Linked DNA regions of Oryctolagus cuniculus. The protein of the gene in region 1 interacts with the protein of each later gene in a pairwise test. Links are inferred from orthologs where the notes say so. Each region holds a gene or a part of one and is shown in the gene's direction. Other genes may lie near its edges.

Region 1 (6,389 bases):
TGTACTCTCATTCTTCAGACTAGGAAGATAGGTTACCTCTGAAAGCTTCACCCATCCCTTTCTGCCTCCAGCTGCAGTCTGCTCTCAAAGCAAAGGCTGTACAAACAACTGGGACATCAGACTTTTATACAAAAACATCAGCGTCCCTCCAGAATCTGTCTGGAAAGTAAATAAAATAAGGTGAATCAAACAAAATCCATAAATACAAGGTATCTTCAAAAAGTTCATGGCAAATGCTTACTATAAAAAACTGTGTATGGATTTTAAACTTTTTTTTACACCAAAATAAATTCATCTTTTCATTCCATTTTCCACACACTTTGTGAAGTAATCCCATATCTGAAGCAGTAAATCTGAGCCTCAAACTATATTGAAAAAAAAGTGTCTAATAAGAGATAGGTTTGTGTTTCAGGCAACACAACTTTAATAAAGAAATAAGTAGCATCTGTTATCGGAATATCACAGAATTTTAATGTGGAAAGGACCATAGGAATCACTTGGTCCAAGCTACTCATATATCTGTACATAAATTAATAATTCATTGTTTCATTAAACATTTACTGAATACTGTGGCTTATGTGCCAAGCACAACACCAGTTCTAACATGGACAATGATGCATGCAAAGTTTGTTTTCTTAGTTATTTCAGACATTGTCCCTCAATCTTCTTTTCACTATTGATTTTCATTTTGAATAATATATTTGATATAAAGAAAAGAAATTGCAAATTCTTTATCAGTGGACTCAAATTTTATAAAATTTTGCTGGGCTTATTTTTGACTCACTGGAAAACAACATAATGTAAAATGTAAGATGTCATTCTGTGAGCCAGGGTTGGGTGTAGGATAGTTTGACATGTGTTTAATGTCACCGTAATCTAGCCAGCTTCCAATGAAAAAGTCACACTTGCTAAGTAGCATGGAATAGTTTCGGCAATTGCTCATGTATTCATGGATGGAATATTTGTTAATGCCAACAGAAGTCCAGTTCATCATAGTCTCTAGTTCTATTGAGAACTTAATGACTTCTAAGCAAATCAGGGGCAAGGAGGAGGCAACAACCATCATATTGTTATTCCAGGAACCATAATCATCTTAGTGAAACTCACATATAGGGTTATTATTCAAGGCTACTTCAAAGCATTCTTTGAAAATGGAGTCAAAAGGTAAGTTTATTTTGATCAAAAAAGTTTTTGGAATTCATGCAAATGAAGGTCTTGAAAGAGTTCATGGAAAATGTGTATGATGAAACACTGTTGCACAGGTTTTAATTTTTTCTACCAAAATAAACTTATCTTTGAACTTCATTTTCACAAATGTTTTCAGGTACTCTCATACAAAGTTCAAAGAAATAAAATTTTGGAGAGTTAATTCCTTCAGATTAGGAAGTTCAGATATCTAAAATGTTCCTGAGAAGTTGTTGTTCAATAAAGATTCATAACATGAATAAATTATGGTTCTGACGTCAGGAGTCATCTTAGAGTGTGGGACTGTTAATTCTGTAGTGCAAAGAAGATAATGATAAATTATTTCCATAGAATATATTTCTAGGATCAGATTTCTTTTTGACTATGTTGTTCTATTATAATAAGAACTGCTCATATTAAAATTATTATTTCCTTAAAAAAATCATGTTACATAATTTGAATTTGGTGGAAAACTCAATGAAGTATGATTTTACTTGCTAACAATGAAGGAAGCTTTCATATTAATTAATCAGGACTGAAAGGAAGCCTAAAATGTTACACTTGTCAGCAATGTGTCTCTGTCATGGTATGATGTAACAAAATTAAACCCTTTTATTCTAAAGTGAGAGGAACAATCACAAAGCAAACAATTCTCAAAATAGATGTGGAGGGAATTTGAGCACATTTTTAGTAGCTGCAATGAATGGAGAGTTTTGATTTAAAAGAAAAAGAACAGAAATGGTATAAAACTTCCAATTCTTCAATTTTAACAAAGGAGCAGAGTAAATTAGATGTTTCATTTTTTCATTGAAGAAGATTTGAAACTTAATATTGCTTTCACAACCAAGATTTACACTGAACATTTCAATTACTACATGTGACATGTGGGATGATTATTCTTTCAGAAATAAAATATCACACATGTTTGGGAAGACTTCCTTTTATATGTTTGAATAGCTTCAATTGCTCTTTATAAATTAGTTTCCTTTTTTAAGCCTTTTGATTGAAGTTTTTTCTTACTAAGAAAGTTTATACTGTGGTCATTCATATTTGTGAAACTTGGGTAATACATTTATGTGGTTAATAAGCCACAGTTTTTACAGAGAAATATAAGATCTATTGTTCTTTTTCCTGTACCAAACCAAAAGAACACAGGATCTGGCCCATCAATCATGAAAACTGAGTGGCCTTTTTTCCAGGCCACAGCCAAGAGATCAAACCCCTGTGACTGCCTGTTTGTTAGAAATCGTGGCAGTTCATTCACTCAGCAGGAGATCTATCATTCTTAAAACAACCCTATTCAGCACCAGCTATCAGCACCTGCTCTGAGTGACTGCCTCCTCACAGCTGAAACCCTTGCTCACACATTCACTTGGGATTGAGCATGGTTAGTTCTAAAGAACTGAGAAAAAATATCCACTTACCCTACCCGCTAATCCCCTTTTCGTGTGGGCTAATCCTGGGTTCTGTAAACTCAGAGCACATTTGAACCATCATCATAAAATATTTTGTTTTTTATTCACAGGAGGAAACCCTTCAGCGAGCACGTGAGGAAGAAGAGAAAAGGAAAGAGATCACAAGTCATTTCCAGAGTACCCTGACAGACATCCAGGCTCAGATCGAGCAGCAGAGTGAGCGAAACATGAAGCTCTGTCAGGAGAACACAGAGCTGGCAGAGAAACTGAAAAGCATCATCGATCAGTACGAGCTCCGGGAGGAGGTGAGAAGCACACGCATCCACTTAGAACTCTATGGATCTGAATCTGGGGCGTGAAGGTTGCGAAGCTGGTCAATAAGAAAGTTATGGCCAATCCTCACTTCTCAACTGATTAATATTTAGGGCTGGATTTCTTTTACCCGCCAAAATAGAGAGAGATGGTACTATGGAATACCTGGCTGAAAGTCCTATGGGATTTCTTCAAAACTGGAATCACTGCTAAGCAAATGCAATAGGCTGGAGGCACAGCCACCCTTGAAAACAGCATTTCTCAGCCTCTGAAAAATCCCCTCCATAGAGCCAAAAAGTGATTCACATATACTCTCTTAGGAATCACCATGTCATCTAAATAAAGAATCCCTCATTCATTCTATATACCCCACAAGCCACTAAAACACGATCAATAATGTCATAATTATAGTGTCACTTACTCTGTGCTTCCGTCATGTCAGACAATGTGCTAAATACCACCTTTTACATATAATATGTCACTGAACTGTCTCAACAATCCCATGCACTAGACAATAATATACTATCCACATTTTGTAGATTGGAAGCAGAAGCTGTGACATTAAATCACCATCCCACAGTCACAAAAGCCAGAGACTTGTGCTTTCGATACTCTAACATTAGGAGCATGATAGGGTCTCCTGTGATCCCAAAGTTATATTTTAATATTGAATATTTTTAAGATTCCAGATAACCTCTCAGGATTTTGAATATATTACATTCCTCTCCCTACCCCACCCAGATTTTACTTACCTGCCTTAAAATATAACATAACATAGTCAAAGCAACTCTGTTGGAAGATGCTAAGATTTTATCAAGAGAAAAACTGAGCCAATGGTGTGTGTTCACAGTAGTTAGGTAACTCAACTCACAGTATGCCAACTCACTCCTCAACTCCTCACAGTAAGCAATGCTACCATTTCATCTGGTCACAGGGATCAACCCCACTCCAGAAAGGAGGCTCAGGCTAAATAAGAAGCAAAAGGAAAATGCCCATGCTCTTCAGAGAAATTTTGGACGGGAATGGCCTGGTATACAGGTTATAAATTCCTCTAGGATTGTTCTGGCTAAGTCCCAAGGACAGAATTCTACCTGCCCTCTTTCTGATGACAAAATTGGGCTTAATGATAGAAACTTTTTATATTAAGGTAGGGTGGGAGCTTCTCTTTGCCTGGTTAAGTCCAGAGGTCAAAAGGTGTGGAAGACTCTGCACACTTGTATATCAATTCATCCCACTGGCTTTGCCATCCCCACCAGAGCAACACAGAATTTAGGAGGTGGGGGGCCACACTCCTAGAACCATTGGCTGGCACCCCAAGGCTTTCTCACAACCCTTGAAGCAAGAATGTGAATTCAACATGATAAACTGCATAAATATTATGATCAAAAGTGGATTTATATTCATAGAAAGAGCCAAATGCTATAGTCTTTGAAGTATAAATCATTGTGTGTGCTGTAGCTAAATAAATAAATAAAGACCATATCTACTCATTACCAAATTTTTAAAAATGCTGTTGAACTCTAACTTTTGCAGCTACCTTTGTTTACTGTGAAGGGTTAGGGACTTCACCAATTGATGTCTTTAATGTAAAGTGATAGCCATGCGATTTCCCCTTTTAAAAAAATCTTAAAATCTGGAGAATGGAAGTTTATGTTACTTTTTTTAATTTAAAATGTCTAAGCCTCAACAGTAAACCAAGTTTCATGCGTATACTTTATTTTTCCTTAGCATCTGGACAAGATATTTAAACACAGAGAACTGCAGCAGAAGCTGGTGGATGCAAAACTTGAACAGGCACAAGAAATGATGAAGGATGCGGAGGAGCGACACAAGCGGGAAAAGGAATATGTACTTATCATTCCAGTAGGATGCACATCTGGCCTACCTCAGCATCAGACACTCCCTGGGGAAGCTGTTTTGATAATGGTCAAAGGGCACTAGACTGAGAGAGAAAAGGCTGGAGATTCTATGAGAACTAAATTGGCCAGCCTAGCACTAGGGATGGTACCCATGTGACTTTTTACACAAAATGGGCAATCATCCATTTAACAAATATGTCTATGTGTCTTTAATCTGATAAGCACCACAGTGGGTGCTAGGAAATAGTTGTGAACAAGACAGAGATGGGCCATCTCCCACCACGGAAGAGATAGGCAACACACAAGCAAAGAAGGAAGGGTGACTGTAGATTTAAAATGTGCTACTAGACTGAGAAGGAGCCAAGGAGGGGGCCTACCTAGCTGGTGACCAGGAAGGCCTCCCAGAGGGGTGGATGCTTGGGCCAAGCCTTGCTCAATGAGGAGTCATCTCTAGCACCCGTGTCTGCAGCAGTGACAAAGGTCCTGATGCTGGAACCAGCTTGGTGTGCCCCAGGAAAGAAAAGGTTAGGGAGGCAAGAGCATGTGGACCAAGTGGGAGAAGGGTTCAAAATGAAGTTGGAGAGGTAAGGAGGGGCCAGATTGTGTAGCTTCGCAGGGCTTGGAAGGTAGTTTGGATTTCATTCTAAATACAGTGGGAACATACTTGGTAGTTTTAGCAAAGAAAGTGACATGATCTGCTCTACATCTGTAAGATTACTTGGCTCCTGGGTGGGAAGTGGATTCCAGAGGGACAAGAGAGCAAGACAGTCAGGAGGCTGCTGTAGCCATCCAGATGAGATAAGAGGATGACTTAGCCAAGGGAGGCGGAGCGGATAAAAAGTGTTTTCCGTGTAAAACTAACAGGCCATGCTCTGACCTGCAGAATGGGATAGTGAGGGAAGGGTGCCTCCTGGGCTGTAGACTGAAGAAACTGAATGGTGGTGTTTACTAATATCTCACTGACCCCAAGCACCCCTACAAAGCTATGGGGCATTCCACAGAACTGAGGCTTAAAGAGGATATACAACTTTTTTTAAAGGTCACATACTGCTAAGAGACTACAATGTGTTTAAAACCCACATGTGTCTGTCCCCAAAGTCCAGGCTCTCTGTGACAGTTCATCACACTTGGAGGTATATTTCAGAGGTATGAATTGAAGCATGTATCAGTTGCTGAGAGACAGGAGAGGTTTAAGACATAGTTAATGGGCCAGTTATTCAAATTTGGCCATTTAACATTGGACCACAAGCTTTTCATTTACCTGAAATTATTTCAATTTGTTAGAATAGTAATTTTTAAATAACTTCAGTTTTCCAACTTGGCAACAAAAAGATGAATTTTGGAGACTATAACCTGGTGACACTGGATAATTTCAAATCAGTAGTCCATGTTCTTTTAAGAAAAAGATGAATTTGTTAAATCCATTAACAACCTATCTCTCAAGTAAGAAAAAAAACCACTTTATTATTAGGCAAAATCCAAGGAAATAAATTCACCCCTGTGGACCTTACCCAATTAGGTAAAATATTCTTCCTACAAAATATCAGTGCTCTAGGATATAATATGAGACATGTCAGAGAAAGAATTAGGCAAGATGCACATGAGAGATATTACAGAG
Region 2 (6,389 bases), about 33 Mb from region 1:
GAAGTTCTGAGCTAAACCTTCGTGTTTAAGAGAAAAATACTTGTTAAAATGGCTTGAATTTCATCTTATAACCTTTTAAACTTCCCCTATAGTTACTGTACCTGCATGTATTTATCCTCTAGAAATAGGTTAAACTGAAACAACTTAAGGGAAGAACTCTCCACAAGGCTTGTTTTCCAAAGTATTGTTAAGGGGAACAAAATTATAAACCTACTGAGGTGTGTTGTAAAGCTCTTAAAAGTAAGCCACCAAGGTTCGTGGATGGAAATGTAGTGCCCAAGTCATTTTTCTTTAAAAGGCTGTAACAAATACAGATGAGTCGAAAAGGTGTAATATATATATATTATGTATATAATATATGTAATATATATTATATATTATGCATATAATATATAATTATATAGGTAATATGAATATGTAATATAAAATATATAATATATAATATAAAATTAGAGGAATGGTACAAAGTATGTTATAAAAACATCACTTTTATGTAGAAAATTGTATGTGTATTTAATTCTAGATTCTTCATGTCACTTCTGTTGCTAAGTTTCTATGAACTTAGACAAGTCAATATTTTTAATTTTAACTTCTTTAGCTATGAAGATTAAGATAACCAGTTGGGTACATGTCACAGGTTTATCATAAAAACATCATTACAAAACATGAAAATACTCTGGAGAATGAAAGATCAGATTTGGAATCATTCTGAACTAGTTGATTAGAATGCTAGGGAATTAAATGAAATTGTGTCTTACTCAAAGATTAGGTTCAGAAATTGCATATATCCAAATTATCTGTGAAAATCCTTTAGGAAGCCAGTATATCCAAGTAACTACAAAATACTAATATTGTGACTTTAAATATGCACTTAGGAGAATCTTAAAATGGGATCAGGAAAATATTTATGGCTCTAGGCATAACTTAATACCATACAGAATACTTTCATAAACACTAATTTTTTCCTTATTTTTAATATGCTATAATAATGGTTATCATCTAGCTTTGTGGAATAAGCCACAAGAAATAATAGTCCAATTAATGAGCCAGCTACAGAATCTGTGTGAAAAGCAATAAATATGATCTTTATCTCATTTGTAAAAATCAAATGATAAATGTCTAGCAAACTTCTTTCTATTTGGATAACAACTATATGAAAGTTAATTTATAATATTTACATTCCATTCATCGCTAGTTTTATAGTTTGAACTTATAACTGAATAGAAAGTGTAAAATAGTATCTGAAAATAATTTCTTTATTTCTTTTTATTTATTTATTTTGACAGGCAGAGTTAGGGAGAGAAAGAGAGACAGAGAGAAAGGTCTTCCTTCCGTTGGTTCACCCCCCAAATGGCTGCTATGGCCAGCGCACCGCGCCGATCCAAAGCCAGGAGCCAGGTGCTTCCTCCCGGTCTCCCATGCAGGTGTAGGGCCTAAGCACTTGGGCCATCCTCCACTGCACTCCTGGGCCACAGCAGAGAGCTGGCCTGGAAGAGGAGCAACCGGGACAGTATCCGGCGCCCCAACTGAGACTAGAACCCGGGGTGCCGGCGCTGCAGGCAGAAGATTAGCCTAGTGAGCCACGGTGCCAGCCCTGAAAATAATTTCTTAAAAAGATTGATTTATTTATTTGAAAGGCAGAGAGAGAGAGTGAGAGATCTTGCATCTGCTGGTTCACTTTCCAAATGGCTGCAGTGGCTGGAGCTGGGCCAGCAAAAGCCAGGAGCCAGGAGCTTCTTCCAGGTCTCCTGTGTGGGTGCAGGAGCCCAAGCACTTGGGTCGTCCTCCGCTGCTTTCCCAGGCCCATTAATGGAGCTGGATCAGAAATGGAGCATCCAAGACTCACTTGAACCAGGGTCCATATGGGATGCTGGTGTCGCAGGCAGCAACCCAAACTGCTATGCCACAATGTGGCCCCGTGTATTTGAAGATTTTTAACTTTGGACTTAGCTGAGTCAGGAAGATATTATTAGTAAATTGAGTAAAAATCACAGTAGCACATGTATGTTACTGGCATCATAAAACCATTACATTTTAATCATTTTTCTAATGAAAGAAACTGATCTTATCTGTCTATATTTTTATCACAATTTCTTGGACAATTTAATATATGGTTGTACTTTGACTAAAAATGAGCACAAGAACTGAAAAAAACCTTTAGCTTTGAACCAAATTGCCATGTTAACTAGTGGATTGTACGTTTTAATTTTCTTCATCTGTACTCAGACTCCTCTGCCTCCTAGATCAGGCATTATCTTACATTTAAGAAATATTTATCTTCTTCAATTGTGTTCATTCGCTATCTCCATCCTAGAAATGACTAAATACAGTCATGCACATATTTATTAACAAGATATGTTGGAGAAAATTTGTTCCTCTTTAGAATTTTAGTCCTTATTCTCCATTATTTTGACAAATATTTGTTACTTGAATAATTTTTGACTCACTAACAAAATGTATTGCTCTTTTTTTATGTTACTGTAATTGTAAATGTTCAAAAGTTTTCACTCAAAGCATCAAACAATTTTTTTTCAACAGCTCTTATTTTAGCCTTAAGAACTCTTCAGGAAAAGATCCATCGTTTAGAGCTCGAGAGAACACAAGCTGAAGATAACCTGAACATTCTTTCCAGAGAAGCGGCACAGTATAAAAAGGCCTTGCAGAATGAAACAAATGAAAGAAATCTGGCACACCAGGAACTGATAAAGCAGAAAAAAGGTAAAAGCACGCAAACAAAAACAGTAGTTCTTAGAAATGAGGGGTTACCATAGTTTACAATTTGAAACAATGAATTTCAGTAGATTTACTCAAATACCTTTGTTCTAATAGACATTCAGACCTTGTTCTCAGATGTTTCTTTATTTGCAGAAAATGAATGTAACTTTGAATTTACTGCTATTATACCTATTATCTTAGTTTATAAATTCTTCAGACTAAAAGAAAAATTAAATTTTAGACATTGTATATAGAAATTAAAATATTTTCAGAATAACCAACAAAATCCAATTTAACCCATAATATAATTGAGATGCTTTACATTTTTGTTAATACTGATTTTCAAAATTTGAAATATAAAGTGACACTAGAAATTAAATGACATAAGAAACAAAGTGATTCAAAAATAATTTATCTACTTTGAAAGGAAAACAAGGTTAATTAGAGGAAATAGGTAGGTTGTGGCATCTGTGGAAATTAGGAAGCGACATCTGGACACAAGTTTTAGAAATGTGGAGGGCATGGCCGGCGCTGTGGCTCACTAGGCTAATCCTCCGCCTGTGGCGCCGGCACCCCAGGTTCTAGTCCTGGTTGGGGCACTGGATTCTGTCCCGGTTGCCCCTCTTCCAGGCCAGCTCTCTGCTGTGGCCCGGGAGTGCAGTGGAGGATGGCCCAAGTGCTTGGGCCCTGCATCCCATGGGAGACCAGGAGAAGCACCTCGCTCCTGGCTGCGGATCAGCGCGGATCAGCGCGGTGCGCCACAACGGCCGTTGGAGGGTGGAACAACAGTAAAGGAAGAAAGACCTTTCTCTCTGTCTCTCTCTCTCACTGTCCACTCTGCCTGTCAAAAATAAATAAATAAATAAATAAAAATTAAAAAAAAAAAGAAATATGGAGGGTATGCTCTCTATAGAATTTTACTTCAACACTTGGGACTTTTTCTTTTCTTGTAACATATAAACTTATAAATAAGTCTTGAATTTGTGTTTCAGCTTATAAGTAGAATAAAAGATGGGGAGAAAAAAATTCTGAGATAATTGGATGAAATTAGAGCTGAGGGAAGTAAAATGTTAAAGGATTAGAAAAATGTTGTTTAGGGGCCGGCGCTGTGGTGCAGCAGGTTAACGCCCTGGCCTGCAGTGCTAATATCCCATAGGCTCCGGTTCGAGACTCGGCTGCTCCACTTCCTTTCCAACTCTCTGTTGTAGCCTGGGAAAGCAATAGAAGATAGCCCAAATCCTTGGGCCCCTGCACCCACGTGGGAGACCCAGAGGAGGCTTCTGGCTCCTGGCTTCATATCTGTGCAGCTGTGGCCATTGCGGCCAATTGGGGAGTGAACCAGTGGATGGAAGACCTACCTCTCTCTCTCTCTCTCTCTCTCTCTCTCTCTCTTCCTCTCCTCTCTTTGTATAACTCTGATTTCAAATAAATACATAAATCTTTAAAAAAAAGAAAGAAAAACATTGTTTATCTCTGTGAAGGTAACCTGCTGTCAGTAGTCAAAAGCAAAGGAAAATGGGAATAATGGAATTGCATATTCCTGAGTTTCCTGGAAGAGAAGAAATGTATTGATAGGTAAGAGACTTGATAAAATAGGTTTCAAAATTGTTTTGTACCCAAATAAGCTCGTCTTTTAATTCTGTTTTCCATGACTTCTTCAAGTACCCTCATAAACCTTGTTATTTCCCAGAACATCTTGCAAGTCACTGTCATCCTCCTCTTTCAGAAATATGCCCTCTGGGTTTTGAGGGAAGGCAAAGTTAAATCAGTAACAGATAGTTAATGAGATACAGCATGAGGGCCAGCGCTGTGGCTCAGTAGGTTAATCTTCTGCCTGCAGCGCTGGCATCCATGTAGGCACCGGTTCTAGTTCTGGCTGTTCCTCTTCCAATCTAGCTCTCTGCTATGGCCTGGGAAAGTAGAAGATGGCCTAGACACTTGGGCTCCTGCACCCAGACCTGGAAGAAGCTCCTGGCTCCTGGCTTCAGGTCAGCTCAGCTCCGGCTGTTGCAGCCATTTGGGGAGTGAACCAGCAGGTGGAAAACCTTTCTCCCTGTCTCTCCCTCTCACTGTCTGTAACTCTGTCTCTCAAATAAATAAATAAAATCTTAAAAAAAGAAAGATACAGCATGTATATTCATAACTCTCAAGAGTCAGTACTGACAGCTAAAAGAAGCCTTGAACTTTCTGTTCTTGATTAAATTACCTAATGCGTTTCTCATGATAACCAGATATGTGATAATCAACTGACTCATTATTTTTTCTTGTTCATAGATATAAGTATACAGTTAAGCTCAGCACAGTCTCGTTGTACACTTCTCGAAAAGCAACTGGAATATACAAAGAGAATGGTTCTCAATGTAGAGCGGGAAAAGAATATGATCCTAGAACAACAGGTGAGCATGCTTTCTATAAGGAATGATAATGTAATTTAATATGTTTTTTGAAAAAACATCATGGGAAAATTGTCATAACCTTAAGTAAAGTAGTATATAGATGTCCACTTACAGTATTGGCAGAATAGATCATTTGGACCATTTTATTCTGCAGAATAAAATAAGAAAAAAAGTAGATAAGGCCAGCCTCGTGATGCTTGGGATGCCTGCATCCCATATTGGTGTGCCAGTTGGAGTCACGGATAGTCCACTTCTGAGCCAACCTCCTGCTAATATGCCTAGGAAGCAGCAGGTGATAAGTCAAGTATCTGAGCCCCTGCCACCCGCATGGGAGACCCAAATGAACTTTCTGGTTCCTGTGTTTGGTCTGGCCCAGCCCTGGCTGTTGCAGCTATTCAGGGAGTGAACTAGCAATGGAAGTTTTCTCTGTCACTCTGTCTTTCAAATAAATAAATATTTACAGGAAAGACTAGGTAGAATATTAAAAAAAAAAAAGAGAGAGAGAGAGAGATACACAAATGCATTAGAGAACTAGTAAGACACTAAAAATCACCAGTTGAAATCCATGTGTAGACTTAAATCCAGGGAATTCAGACTCCTTTCTTCTGAGGGCATTTTGGATTCCAGAAAAGATAGTTTGGAGACTATGCCTTTGACAGCCACCCTTCTGGAGCTAAGGCAATCAAAGTTAGGGTTCAAGGCCTACCAAGAGTAGAGGGGCCAGCGCTGTGACGTCGTGGGTTAAGCTGCCACCTGCAGTGCCAGTATCCCAAATGGGTACCGGTTCAAGTTCCAGCTGCTCCACTTCTGATCCAGCTCCTTGCTATGGCCTAGAGAAGCAGTAGAAGATGGCCCAAGTGCTTGGGCCCCTGCCCATGTAGGAGACCTGGAGGAGGCTTTTGGCTCCTGGCTTTGGCCTGGCCGAGCCCTGCCATTGTGAACATTTGGGGAGTGAACTAGCAGATAAAAGATCTCTCTCTCTCTCTCTCTCTCTCTCTCTCTCTCTGTAATTCTGACTTATAAATAAATAAATCTTATAAAGAAAGAAGGAAGGAAGGAATGAAAGGAGGAAGGGAGGAAGGAAACCAGATTACAACTCTGCTCCAGCATGTCTAGGTGGCCTGAAATTGGCCTGAAATATTCCTGAAGTACTAATATCCCCAGGGTCCCCAAATTATTTCTACAAATATTTCTTCTTCACTGCAGTGAGCAACTTTCAATCAAAGATGACCAGGCATAAGAAAGTAAGACCCTGTAAACAAGAAATAGCATATAAAA
Region 3 (6,389 bases), on another chromosome or scaffold:
AGAAAAATTCAGAAGAAGAGTTGGTAATGTTGAAATAGTTCAGAAACTGAAGTAAATATAGAAAGATATGGTAGAGGGAAAAAAAACAGGGTCAATTAGAGACATCCTCTACCCAAATAGCAAAATTCCCAGAGAGAGCAGGAAAAATTGGGTGATAAATAATTATCAAAGAAATAATTAAAGAACATCTCCCAGAGGGAGGGAGGAAGGGAAGTATCCTCACAGTCTTAGAATTTTATCTACGAACTACACTGAATCTGTTCTCTTTGCATTAATATCACAACACGAGAATTGTGTTGTAGTGATTCTCATGCGTTTGCTGTGATCCTGAGGATCTAATGTATTAATACTTTCCTTTAAGAGAAAGACCTCTCAAATGGTCCATCGAGCAGTTATCTCCATGATGAAAACACACCACACACGCCATGGCAGATTTCTGCGGAGATTTAGAACACTGGGACCAGAGAGGTGATCCTAGAAACTTGCAGCAGCAGTAGGAAGAGGGTCGCACAGGAAGGATCAGGAACCAGAACAGCATTACACACTGAAAATCAGAAGATAATGGAACAGTGCCTTACACGCTGAGGGAGGCAACTTTCTACATCTAGCCAGACTAATAACACTGTGAAGAGATTATCTATCTACTTTAAGATTTATTTATTTATTTGAACAGTTACACAGAGAGAGAAGGAGAGGCAGAGAGAGAGAGAGAGGTCTTCCACCCACTGGTTCACTCCCAAATGGCTGCACCAGCTGAAGCTGTGCTGATCCAAAACCAGGAGCCAGGAGCTTCTTCCGGATCTCCCACGTGGGTGCAGGGGCCCAAGGCTTTGGGCCATCTTCTACTGCTTTCCCAGGCCATAGCAGAGAGCCAGATCGGAAATGAAGCAGCCAGGACTCGAACCAGTGCCAATATGGGATGCCAGCACTGCAGGCGGCGGCTTTACCCACTACACCACAGTGCCGGCCCTGAGAATAATATTTTAAAAAGTGCAAACCTTCTGCAGATTTACCTCCTGTGCAGACTTTCTCGGGATGCTATTGGAGGGAGAGCACCACTCACTCCATGAAAGAGCAAATCAAGAAAGATACGGGGTCGGCGCCGCAGCTCACTAGGCTAATCCTCTGCTTTCGGCTCCGGCACCCGGGGTTCTAGTCCCGGTCGGGGCACCGGATTCTGTCCCGGTTGCCCCTCTTCCAGGCCAGCTCTCTGCTGTGGCCAGGGAGTGCAGTGGAGGATGGCCCAAGTACTTGGGCCCTGCACCCCATGGGAGACCAGGAGAAGTACATGGCTCCTGCCATCAGATCAGCGCGGTGCGCTGGATGCAGCGCGCCGGCCACAGTGGCCATTGGAGGGTGAACCAACGGCAAAGGAAGACCTTTCTCTCTGTCTCTCTCTCTCACTGTGCACTCTGCCTGTCAAAAAAAAAAAAAAAAAAAAAAAAAAAAAAAAAAGATACGGGCTCTAAGAAACAAGGCGTGCCTCTGAGGAGAGGCCCTGATGGAGCCGTGAAGTGTTTGAGAGGCTTGAGAGGGGAATTCAGACAAGGGGCGGGACATTTGAGGATGATGTACTGAGAACCTCATAGCAAACTAGCTGAAATAACAAAGGCTGTGCTGTGGAGAATGTAAAATCCTAAGACATTTTAGAAGTCACTCTGGAAACTATATAGGCTTAGCTGTGAATATCCTAATAAGGCAAACACTGAATAATTTTATTATTGCTTGGTGGGAGGAGGGGGAGATGGGGTGATGGGAAGGATTTCTGTACAGAAGTGGAGTAAGGAGGGGATGAAAGTTAAACCCTTAACCTCTGTAGTGTGGGAAATCAACAGAAAATGCCCAAGCTTAAGAATCAAGAAGTAGGGATGTAAGCATGCTATTTGGAGCTGAGGAGGTAGGAACCAGTCAACGACTAGAAAATTAACAGCAGTCTCTAGAAAGTGGGGTGGAGGAACTATCACTGTTGACAACAAAACCCGTGGAGCCGTTCGCCTCTTGATGTGCACCTGTGATGTAATGCGGCAGGGTCTTAGGGTCACAGGGCAGGCACCGTCGTGAAGAAGTTGGGGTGCCAGCTGTGGAGGTGTTCCGCTTTCACTCTCCCGGAGCGGGCGAGGATCCCGGTGCTCCCGTACTTAGGAATCAGAGCGCCGCGAAGCCCCTGATGCTGCCAAGCAGCCGCGGAGGCACAGGTTCAGACCTGTGCCCCTGAGCTGCGAGGGACCCCCGGGGATGACCCACAAAGGCAGACTCACTTCCAGGGCAGACAGGGAGGCTGTGCGTGGCGGAGGGAGGTCCTGGAGCCCCAGCCACTGGGGGGCGGGGTGGGGGGGCAAGCCTGCCCTCCTCCAGGACCTGCTAGTGATTTCCTGGAGAGCACAGGGAAGCAGGTTAGTCCCCTCTGTTCCCCAGCCCTCGTCTTCCCGGTTCACTCTCAGGTTGGACTAGTCTTGGGCCCTATGGACATCTTACTGGCGAATCTGGACCAGTTTGATAGTTAATACCCTAAACGTGAAGATCAGAGTTCAGTGGGATGGGATTTTAATACTTAACTTTTTTTAAAGTTTTTTTTTTTTTTTTTTTTTTTTTTTTTTTTTTTTTTTTTTTTTAAGATTTATTTATCTGAAAGGCAGGGTGACAGAGAGAGAAAGGGAGAGACAGAGAGTGAGATCTTACATCTACTGGTTCACTCCCCAAATGGCCATAATGGCTGGGCCTGAGCCAGATCAAAGCCAGGAGCCTGCAACTCCATCTGGGTTTCCCATGTTCTGCTGCTTTCCCAGGAGCATTAGCAGGAAGCTGGATCAGAGGCGGAGGAGCCGGGACTCGAACCACCATTCATATGGGATGCCAGAATGGCAGGCAGCAGCTTAACCTGCTGCTGCACAACGCCAAAGGCCCCAATACTTAACATGTTCTGAGACTTTTCTTTGTGTTAGGCACTGTATTGAGTCCTTAGTAGATCTCATCTCAAAATCCTTACAGCCACTTGTGAAAAGAGTGATTTAGCCCTGTTTTACAAGCACGGAAACTGAAGCGCAAAGATAAAAAAAAAAGAATCCCCAGTTTTAAGCAGGTCATATAGCTAATCTGTGGCAGAGCTGAAAAACCTTTACAACTTTTTTCTAAGAGAGCATGTGTATGAGTGAAAGCAGGCTCCTGTCTGCTGGTTCACTACCCCCATGCCCGCAAAGGCCCAGCCACAGCCCGGAACTGGGAACTTAACCTAGGTCTCCCATGTGAGTGGCAGGGACACAACTACTCAAACATCACTGCCTCCCAGGGTCTGCATTAGCAGGAAGCTGGAGTCAGGAGCCAGACCTGGGTGTTGAACCCAGGCATTCCAATGTGGGGCATGGGCATCTTAAGTGCTTTTTTTTTTTTCCCCAAGATTTATTTATTTGCTTGAAAGGCAGAGTTACAGAGAGGCAGAGAAATAGAGAAGTCTTCCATCTGTTGGTTCACTCCCCAGTTGGTGCAATGGCCAGAGCTGAGCTGATCCAAAGCCAGGAGCCTGGAGCTTCATCTGGGTCTGCCACGTGGATGCAGGGGCCCAAGAACTTGGGCCATCTTCTGCTAATTTCCCAGGCCATAGCAGAGAGCTGGATTGGAAGTGCAGGCGGCAGCTTTACCCGCTACACCACAGCACCGGCCCCTTAAGTGGTGTTTTAACCACGAGGCTAAACACCCACCCTGAGAGCTAATTTTTTTTTTTTTTTTTAAGATTTATTGTTTTAAAAGTCAGAGTCAGAATGACAGAGAAAGAGGTCCTCTGTCCACTGGTTCATTCCTCAAATGCTCACAGCTCAGACCAAAGCCAGGAGCCAAGAACTCCACCCACATATCCCATATGGGTGTCAAGAAACCAAGTACTTGGCCATCATCCGTTGTCTCCCAGGTACATTAGCAGAAAGCTGGATCAGAAGCAAGGAGTAGCCAGGACTGAAACCATGTACTCTGATAGAGGATGCGGGTGTCCCGAGCAGCAGCATAATTCATTTTGACAGCTGGAATTCCAAGCAGCAGTTTGGCTGCCTCTGAAACCCACGCCCCAAACCATTCTATCTCAAGGCTTCTTAAAAGTGAAGCACAGGCTGGCGCCGCGGCTCACTAGGCTAATCCTCCGCCTAGCGGCGCCAGCACACCGGGTTCTAGTCCCGGTCGGGGCGCCGGATTCTGTCCCAGTTGCCCCTCTTCCAGGCCAGCCCTCTGCTGTGGCCAGGGAGTGCAGTGGAGGATGGCCCAGGTACTTGGGCCCTGCACCCCATGGGAGACCGGGAAAAGCACCTGGCTCCTGGCTCCTGCCATCGGATCAGCGCGGTGCACTGGCCGCGGCGGCCATTGGAGGGTGAACCAACGGCAAAAGGAAGACCTTTCTCTCTGTCTCTCTCTCTCACTGTCCACTCTGCCTGTCAAAAAAAAAAAAAAAAAAAAAAAGTGAAGCACAGTTCGTGGAGTAGGCCTCTTAGACATGCTGCGGAACCCCTTGGCCCCAAATCCAGAACTAACTCCTTCTCCCACTCCCTCCAGGCTTACCTGCGAGCCGTGGACGTGAAGATCCTGCAGCAGCTGGTGACCTTGAATGAGGGCATCGAGGCAGTGCGCTGGCTGTTGGAGGAGCGGGGGACATTGACCAGCCATTGCAGCAGCCTCACCAGCAGCCAATACAGCCTGACGGGCGGGAGCCCAGGCCGCTCTAGGCGAGGCAGCTGGGACAGCCTGCCGGACGCCAGTTCGGCTGACCGCCTGGATAGCGTCTCTATTGGCAGCTTCCTGGACACCGTGGCCCCCAGCGAGCTGGATGAGCAGGGCCCACCTGGCGCTCCCCACCCGGAGACCAACTGGGCAAAGGCTCTGCCCAGTGGGGAGAGGGCCAGGACGGAGGCGGAGCTGACAGCCAGCAGGCTAGGGAGCTTGAGATCCGTGTGGAAGCCCCCAGGGGAGGGGCTGCAAGGCGGAACTCCTGAGTCCCCAGAGGAGGAGAGCGCTCAGCTGGGCTTTGAGAGTCACTGGTACTGGGGGCAGTGCCAGGATGATGTGACCTTCTTGTAATGACTTTCCCACTCCTTTGTATTCCTGTTGCTCTTTTACCCCTCGGCCCGGTCTCTTGCAAAATTTACTCTCCCCCAATCTGGGACTAGGAAGAGGCTGCATGGACATCACTATGGAAACCTAGCTCACCAGCCCTCTGGTCCCTAGGGAGCCTCTGCCTTCATCTCTCAATTACTCGGTCCCTAGAGCTATTTCTATAGAGACGTTGACTCTGGAGGCCTGGCCCGGAATTCTGGTGTGATGGTGCCTTCCCTCTCTACCCCTGACTTGGTAAGGGCTTAAGGAATTTAGGAGACCACTGATGAAGAGACAGAGGTGTAATTACCTTATCCACAGTCTAGAAGCCTGGGCCCCTGCCTCATGGCCAAAAGATTGAAGAGGAACCTGGACTTTCAGGGCCAACCCTCCATGGCTTGGCCCTCCCAGAAGCCTTTAGGCTGGTAGCCCCACTCTTTCCTACCTGCTGAGTGATGTCATTTCCTGCCTGGATGGACTAGCCTTTCCTCTGTACCAGTCCTTGGCTGGTGATAGGTCAGTGTTTGAGCCCCTGATGTCAAGTGGGACCATAGCACTTCCTGTCCATACCATTACTTCTTGTGAGGGAGAAGTCGCAGGAAGGTTCCTCGCTGTGTACTGTTGGTGCTGCTTTTCAGAAGATTCTTATTTTTAAAACGGAGTTCTCATTTTGTCCTTGGGAGGGGTCTCACTTCCTCTGTGGCTGCACCTGCTGGATGCCTCGCTCCAGTGGTCTCTGTGCTTTTTGGGAGAGAAACTGCCAGAGGCCTTCACCTTTGGCTCTCAGTCTGTCGGGGTCCCTCCCCCACCCCCAGCCCTCCTCGTTCCCTGTCCCTGCTGGCTCCATTCCTGTCTTCCAGCTCCCTTTCTCTTTCCTCCTCAGGCCTTTTATATGGAGATGAGTCCTGACCCCCTCTCCCTACTGTTGTGGGGAGCCTAGGGGGTGTACAAGAATCTTGGGTGGGGGTGGGGTGGCAGTGTCACCCCCCCATGACTACCCTTCCCCCACCCTATCCCCAGCCTCCCACCGTTTGTCACAAGGATGCCTGCCTGAGGTTGGTACACAAGGAATCTCCTTGTCTGGACCACAATGTGGGGGTGTGGCAGGGAAAGACAGAGGCTCTTTGGTCCCTGGGCTCTGTCATGGAGGGAGGAGGGACAGGGGAAAGGCTTCTCACCCTTGTCTCTTAGAGCAAGCCCCTGACTCCTAGACCCTAGGAGGAAGCAGGGGACTGGCTCTGGGCCCGGGTTCCAGGGCTCTAGCAATAACACCAAAGAAGGCTCTCAGGAAAGCTACCAAGCTCGGGCTCAGGGACTAG

What was found. The genes of interacting proteins can lie anywhere in the genome.
Region 2: the proteins of TXLNB (region 1) and CEP57L1 interact in binary tests that used the Homo sapiens proteins (3 or more experiments, as listed by UniProt). The two-hybrid records come from large-scale screens. The link is inferred for Oryctolagus cuniculus from reciprocal best matches to the Homo sapiens genes TXLNB and CEP57L1.
Region 3: the proteins of TXLNB (region 1) and LURAP1 interact in binary tests that used the Homo sapiens proteins (3 or more experiments, as listed by UniProt). The two-hybrid records come from large-scale screens. The link is inferred for Oryctolagus cuniculus from reciprocal best matches to the Homo sapiens genes TXLNB and LURAP1.

Annotation. Positions count from the first base shown.
Region 1 is NC_091436.1:29,577,322-29,583,710, forward strand, and holds part of TXLNB (beta-taxilin), read left to right. Parts: intron 1-2,710; coding exon 2,711-2,905; intron 2,906-4,640; coding exon 4,641-4,760; intron 4,761-6,389. UniProt on the Homo sapiens protein: Promotes motor nerve regeneration. May be involved in intracellular vesicle traffic.
Region 2 is NC_091436.1:62,275,532-62,281,920, reverse strand, and holds part of CEP57L1 (centrosomal protein CEP57L1), read left to right. Parts: intron 1-2,538; coding exon 2,539-2,718; intron 2,719-4,611; exon of another isoform or gene 4,612-4,703; intron 4,704-4,989; coding exon 4,990-5,111; intron 5,112-6,389. UniProt on the Homo sapiens protein: Centrosomal protein which may be required for microtubule attachment to centrosomes.
Region 3 is NC_091438.1:126,540,202-126,546,590, reverse strand, and holds part of LURAP1 (leucine rich adaptor protein 1), read left to right. Parts: intron 1-4,533; coding exon 4,534-5,055; 3' UTR 5,056-6,389. UniProt on the Homo sapiens protein: Acts as an activator of the canonical NF-kappa-B pathway and drive the production of pro-inflammatory cytokines. Promotes the antigen (Ag)-presenting and priming function of dendritic cells via the canonical NF-kappa-B pathway.